2 linked regions of the Drosophila melanogaster genome follow. The protein of the gene in region 2 purifies or fractionates together with the protein of the main gene of each other region. This does not show direct contact. Each region holds a gene or a part of one and is shown on either strand. Other genes may lie near its edges.

Region 1 (3,757 bases), on a different chromosome or scaffold from region 2:
GCGCCAAGGGCGGCGGTGAGCTGCGGCTGATATTCTCTCGCTTGGCCGGGGTCGAATCCAGCGACCCTTTCATCAGCTTCGACTTCGATTGTGGCGGCGGCGGTGGCACTGATACTGTCGCCTCATCGCCTTGGAGCCACTCTGGCTCCGGCTTAACGGCGGCGATCTGCTGACCCAATCCCCTAACCGGCGGAGCCAGCATCAATGGTATATTCTCATCCAATTCGCTGAGCTTAAGCGGCGGCATACCAGAATCATCGTCCTGGCTCAGCAGGAAGTGCTTGCGAATAAGCATCTCCTCGGTATCACGAGCCATCACCGACTGTGGCATAATCTTATAGTTGGGATCGACGATCAAAGGCACTACCTGGGCGGAAACGTACTCATGGGCGATGTCCGGCAGGAACATGATGTTGTTCTCCTTCAGCTTCACGGAGAATTCCTGTAGGCTATCGTTGAGGCGTAGCAGAAGGAACTGCTGCTCGGCATTGATCTCGTACACCTCCTCCTCCAGTTCGTCCAAGATGCGACGCATCTGCACTGGATCCTAATGACGACAAGAACGTGAGTGTCACATTAGGTGTGGCTGGGATTGTTAGGTGGAAGCTGCACAGGTGCTAATGGCCATTAAAAACGCTAATGACCACAAGCACTGAGCAAAAAAGGGAATACATTTCAATCACAAATGAGGTTGAGATTGATGGATAAGGATGCACGTTGGAAAAATATTGAAATAAAGCGGCATTAAAGAATATGCGCATTAATGCTGTTAAGAAATCAGCAATATTTGCTCATATAGATGATGGATTTCGTCATATACATAATTCTCATATGTCTTCTTTTCAAAAAAAAGTGAAAGTAATTTCGAAAAAATTCAGAGATGCGAACGTGGTTCCTTTGGAAATGAAAACATTTGACCCAATTTTTGTGCATTATTAGTTTTGCTTAAAACGCAGTTGCCTCTTTCATGTTTCTAACCCAACTCTAGAAAATTATCGCGAGTACATCAGTTTCTTTGAAATGAAAAAACTAAACTAAGTACTACGTTTCATAGCTTCATCTACATACAGTTCTTTGTTTTGGTTTTTTTTTTGGTTGTGTGTAGTGGGAGGGGGGTTGGGTGGTGTTCTACGGGCGAACACCTTCACCCTGGGGAATCGGGAATTCTCGTGGCGTAGAGAACAAAGGACAAAGACTTGCAGTCTTCTGGCATTAAACCCACCGCATCCGCCTGCTCATCGAAGACCTCCGAGACCAACTGCGTAAGTGAGAGAACAGAGACAAAGGAAACAAATTAACTGGTGTTCGCCAAGGAGCCATGGTGCACTTACCGCGTGAACCTTGAGGAAATCGCGCAGCGATCGCTGGCAGTAGATGATGTCGTTCTTCAGCTCCAGCGGCAGCACGTAGTACTTCTCCATGTAGTACCTGAACTTGGCGTACTTGCGCTCCTTATGGTACTTGCTCATCTTGTTCCGATTATATTGACGCTATATATATAACGACGGTTATCGTACGAATCACGCACGCGACTGATTTCGGATGCGTTGCAATTGATGCACTTGTGGGAATTTTGGGCAAATTTTCGAAAGGGAGTGGGGTGGGAATTGAAACCGAATGTGGTTAGAAAATGTGATAGATTGATCACTACATTCGTAACTGATATCTGGCCGAGGAACTTCGCAATTTAAGATAAAAATGTGTTGCATCAACTGGTGGCGTTGCCAGATAGATGAATACATGTGCTCGTTCTCGTAGCGAATTTTTAATCTTAATATGCGTTTAATTATGAATTTGGAGAAATAAGGACGATGTGCGTCAATAACTTCGATGACGGAACGGTGGAATTTTTGAACATGGGGAAGTTTTTTAAAAATTAATTTTTCGTTATTTAGTGTTCCAAAATGCACGCAAGACCATCAAATTAGCGTCGATGAGTTAGAGTCGATGGCGGAACGGTGAAATTTTTGAACATTGGAAAGTTTTTTATTATTTTTTTTTTTTTTATGGGTCAAAATATGAACAAGCCTATACAAAAAAGTACCCATGAAAGTCATTTATGTTTGGTGTTGTTGACAGAGCGTGTTCCGGAATGCCGTGCTTATAGGCTTATGTAGGCCTAATTAAGTAATGATCCTTAAAAAATTCATCAAAAATTTATCTACAGTTTTGCAGAAAATCGTCTACAAGTGGAAGGAGTTTAAATGCCACCTTCTCCAGTACTACAGCCAATAAATATCATGAACCGCCCTATTAACGATAAGAGTTCTCCGCTGACTTTATTTTATTATTATTTATTTTATTACATTGCACTATTATTTATATTTATTATTTAACTCAGCTCACAGAGCGTATTCCGTCGTACGGCATCTCAAAAGTTTCGTAATTTTATTTATTATTTATTCAAAAAGTTTCATTACAATTTGATAGACAGTTTTTTTTTTTGTTACTACACGTGTTCTGTATATCTACTAAGCCATATATTTAATATATTATATTAAATAATTGCAAATGGTGTGGATGGTATATAAGTAAGCGCCAGAATTTGGAACCTCTCTATGCTCGCACGGTCACACTGGCCGATAACGAAAACATCGAGGCAACAGCTATACTTCATTTATCACTCAAATCTGGCAGCACTGCATTGTGTTTCGGCAAAAAAGAAAGTTGTGGTTTTCTAGGAATTTCGAGCAAAATGTAAGTAGAACTACAAAATGGGCTTTAAATTGTGTGCAAATTCGCTGCCAGCCTGGCTAATTCGCCACCGTGATGTGAATAAGTGCTGTGCGGCATGACGCCAGTGACGCCCCAAATTCGCATGCAATATGGACGACGGCGTCGCTTCGCCTGGAATTGTGTGCTTTATTCCCGACCCAGCGGCTTTTGCTGTCTGTCCACCCGGCCACCGCCCACCCGGCTTCCGGCCACCAAGTCCAGCCGGTTAACAAGCCCGATTGCCGGCTAGAGTTGTACAAAACAAGTGGCGTATAGAGCTTCCAGAGATTTCGCTGACAAAAAAAAAAGAAAAACGACGTGGTGCCGCCTCGTGCTGTTATCCCTCCTTTTCCGGCTCATGGCAAGCTCTGCAGTGGAAAAGCGCCGTCCAATTGGGACTGTCAGCTCCTCCGTACGCCACACCGAAGCAGGACAAATGTCCTTGTCCTTTGGCCATCGGAACATTCTCGCCGACTGCCATGCCATTCGCATTTTGTGAGGTTAAACATGAATCGCAAAAAAAAAAAAACGGCAATGAATTTGCTTCATGTTTCTTCTGCCGGCGGCGACGTCGGCGTCGTCGTCTGTCTGCGTCTGTTCGTCGTCCGTGTGCGTGTGCATGTGTGGGTGCGTATGTGTGTTAGAATTCGATTTGTTATTTAGAATATATAAATGCGATTGGCGATTTTCACGTGAATCGCGACTGCTGCGCTGTTCGCCAGCCAGCAAATGAGCTAAGAAAACGCTGCACTATTTGTATGTCGGCATTTTTATTTTTTGGCGCGCTTCGCAGCGTCCACAGGTTCTCACCAATACGAGTGCATGCGTGCGTGTGTGTGCTTGTAATTTGCCGGCGTTACAGGCGGCACTCAAAATAAGGAATTTTCCTGCTTTTATGGGCAGCACCAGTGGTGTGATGCGCAGGAATTTCACAATCTTGCCATCCTTAAAAAGTTACTCATTTCAGTCTCCAAAAGGAATGAGTCATCAAATGCCTTTTTCAGCGTTTTACGAAATATATCCATTCAAATTATTCACCTCA
Region 2 (3,757 bases):
TGATGGTGATGTTGCAGGTCTTGTTGCCGCCCATGGGCGCCAGGGGCAGGAAGCGTAGCTCCTCCTTGCGCGGAGCTAGTGTGAGGAGGCTGTTGGGATTTGGATTTCCGCCGGAGGCAGAGGCAACACCATTGCAATTCGCGGTAGATGGTGAGATGACTCCTCCATTCGCTGGCGACATGGACAATGATATATTGCGCTGGAGCTGCTTGGCCTCCGCACTGGCCATCGACAATGGCAGCATTTTGAGCCGTTTATGCTTAGAGCTATGGATTTTTGATTTCTTTTTTAACCAGCGGAAATCGAAGTTATATTCTTGTCTTTACAATGTTTGTACGTTGAGGCGCACAAAAGTTTTTGGCATTTTACACTCCACACCGGCGTTAGTATTTTTTTGTATTCCCCCTTTTCACAAAACTATTTGGCAATTTGTTATGTTCTCGATCGCGCGATTTGTGCTTTATATCCGTATATTCATCAATCACTTTTCTCTTAATCAAAATCGCAGAAATTGTTAAGTTTTTGAATTAAAGTTATTGTTTCGCGCGTTTCCTTGCTCTCATTGTTCGTGTTTCTCGGTTCTGATAATATACCAACATTTGGTATTTAAATGCACAGATTGCGAATTAGTTTTAAATATTTACGGTTACTTTGGGTTTGTTATTACCTGAAAAAGGTTAAGTTGGATTTAGTTTTGGATGCTATATAAGGATTTTAAAGCTGCAAAAGCATGGTAATCAGAAAATAGCTAGCAGGTAGCAGTTGCTTTGCAACTTGTATGCATATTCGCTGTTAATAGCCAATCGCCATCTGTCCCAATAAAAAGGGAAATATCTAGCAGCTTAAAGTCATTAGTTACAATACCTGTGTTATCCTACCTTAATATTTCTGTTTATTGCGCTTGCTTTTTTTTTTTTTTTGTTTTTACAATTTACCCGCGGCCATTGGGCAAAACCTCGTTGCCCCAGTACGGCCACACTGCACGTATATTGAATTTTGATACCATTTTTAGTTATGCTGCCCAAAGATTTATGTTATCTCAAAAACGACTAGAACCTAAAAATAGCTCCTCTGGGCTTTGAATCCCATCTCACGACCACATTTACGAGCCCTTGATGGCTAAACCGATCCGATCTCCCAGCCCCATGTTACGTAGCAGCCCACCCAATGTCACAATAACTGAAACCTCTTATCTTGGTTCGGATGAACCACTGGCCAGGGAATTTGGTCTAGGGCCCATGGAATGCGTCTTCATTTTTCACTTTCAGAGAGTCTACAGGTTCCGCTGCCAGGATCCAACTGTTGACTTACCCGCACGCGATTCGTTTTTGCCCGCGGAGCGAAATGAAATGTACAGCCGCGGAGGAGGCGGAAACCAGGATATCGGGATGCTGTTGGCTTGCCGAACACGGCTGGAATGATAGAAGTTCAGAAAGTCAGGTCGCGAGTGTCGAAAGGTGGGCCAGGATATGTAGGCTTACCTGCTTTAACCGTATGATTCGATTGAACTGCAGTTTGTTGCTGCGAGGGTGTTACTGCTCGTTCGACCTCGTAAATGCAGGCAAAAACGAATGGCCAGCGAAATCGGGCGGAAAATCTTAACAATTTAAGCACATTTTTCACCAGGTAAGCCAACTAAAGCAGCTCGAAACATTACGCAGTGCCATCGAAACGGAAGCGTTCTGTCGTTCAACAATATTAAAAACTGCAAAAGCATGTGTGTATTTTAATTTCTATGATCGAACGGCTCAGGTGGCAACTCTGGTTGCCGATTCGTGTGCGCCCGATGTCGGTTATTTTGAAAAGGCGGAAATAAAATGGTAAATAAACGAAGCCTTTCTTGTTTGGTGTTAACTGTTTTGGAAATACGCTACTTAGCAGCCTTAAATGCTTAAATTAATATCAAGCGATGGCTTTACATGTACCTGATATTGTAAAATAAGTGCAGAGGAAAATTTCGCAATATCCAACAGAGCTTTTTACCTTCTCGGAACAATTTTAACGAAAAGAGTTTGTCCTCTGAATAGTTGTATATATTTAAAACCGCACATTAACTTAGCAACTTTATCAATATTTAATTGCTTCAAAGATTACAAAATACAGCTTCTTCTTCTTCTCCTTAAACTTCTGTTAGTACTGGAAAACGCCGCTCATACTAAACAACGGCAGCGCCAGCAGCTAGTGTTGGCCAACTTCCCAAAGGGTAGTTTTATTTTCGTGTCAATTGTTAAGAGAAATTTGGCAAAAGTGAATAGAGTTTAAGTTTTATAGAATAAAGAGTACCCCTGAACACTGCCAGCCATGTCCCTGTTAAACAATGACGACAGCATTCCCAACATGGACGAGGATCCACAGGGTAAGTGAAAACTGGAGGGAGTGGGTGGAGTCCCGAGTGATGATGTTATCAATTGCTAATCCCCCCCAAAAACGCAGTGGTCATTCCGGACGACGAGCCACCGGCGACGGGACGAATGCCCAGTGGGAGGTCCATGGACTCGTTGCGTTCATCGTTCACCAACCGCAGTTCCACGCCAGATTCATCGCACAATTCGCTGGAGGCCATGGAAATGGCCCAGGACGATCGGGAGGAGAAGGCCCGCCTCATCACACAGGTCCTGGAGCTGCAGAACACCCTGGACGACCTGTCGCAACGCGTCGATTCCGTCAAGGAGGAAAATCTGAAGCTGCGCTCCGAGAACCAGGTGCTCGGCCAGTACATCGAGAACCTGATGTCGGCCTCATCGGTGTTCCAGTCCACCAGTCCCAGTGCGGCCAAAAAGAAGTAATCTTCTATAGTCAATCGACCCACCGGTACTGGAAACCAAAAACCTTCTCAAATATGCCTTCTCGTTCACGCTAGAGCTACATGTATATTTTAATCTGTAACACTCGAAATTAAGCTATTGCAATGTTATTTCAGTTGCCCGATTGTCGAATTTGTATTTGTTTAGGCTTAAGCTTATGGCGCGCTATGTATTTTATACATAGAAGTAATTAATTTATATAGATAATTAATAAATCAATAATACCCCACGCAATTTAAGAATTTGAAAAGGAAAACGGGATGGCAGCACTGCCAATCCAGCTGCTTTTAGAGGTCGCTTTACTAAATAGCCATGATCGAATTGCAAAACTTACAACAGAGTGACATTTTTAATTAAATAATAAAATGTATTTATTTGTATAAATCTTAGCAATTATTAGAAAAACACCTGCTCACATTTTATTTGAAAATTTTGAACTGCCTACCTACACAACGGCCTGGCAACTTTGGTCGGCCAGCTGTTCGTCGTGGTCGTGCAACAACAAATTGAGCAGTGACTTTTCGTATTCGAATAACGTAGAAAGCGTGTATAAGTCGTAGTCTCTGCTCGGAACATTTTAAAACCAGTCCAAAACTATAGGAAAAACAAGAAAAGTGATCGTGCTTACACCAGAACAGTTGAACGTGCAACAAAAGTGATTGCGAAATACACTGCAAGGTGTGTGTGTGTGACTTGGTGCTCTAGCTGTGTGTGTGTGGGGAAAAACAAAACATTTGCGCTGTGGTTTTTGCTTTTAACAATGTTTGTTTGAGTAGGAAATTCCAATTTTAGTGGCCATTAATGGAACGCAAACATTTAGTTGGCCTTCCTTTGTATTTGCAGTTTCTATTTTGTATCTTCCCCTCCCGCTCGCAATTGTGGATAAAAGCAACAACAAAGTGCAGACAGAGACCAGTGTTGTGAAAGACCCCCCACACACACACACACATGCA

What was found. The genes of interacting proteins can lie anywhere in the genome.
Region 1: the proteins of l(3)mbt (region 2) and Lint-1 purify together in Drosophila melanogaster (affinity purification with mass spectrometry; 2 studies listed by BioGRID, with this or other methods). This does not show direct contact.

What each region holds. Positions count from the first base shown.
Region 1 is NC_004354.4:11,147,426-11,151,182, reverse strand, and holds the start of Lint-1 (l(3)mbt interacting protein 1), read right to left. Parts: upstream 1,861-3,757; 5' UTR 1,470-1,860; coding exon 1,332-1,469; intron 1,259-1,331; coding exon 1,223-1,258; exon of another isoform or gene 979-1,222; intron 548-978; coding exon 1-547.
Region 2 is NT_033777.3:27,271,530-27,275,286, forward strand, and holds the start of l(3)mbt (lethal (3) malignant brain tumor), read right to left. Parts: upstream 1,745-3,757; 5' UTR 1,482-1,744; intron 1,413-1,481; 5' UTR 1,312-1,412; intron 668-1,311; 5' UTR 245-667; coding exon 1-244. Other genes in the region: CG5934 (uncharacterized protein), read left to right, coding at 2,302-2,356, 2,434-2,786.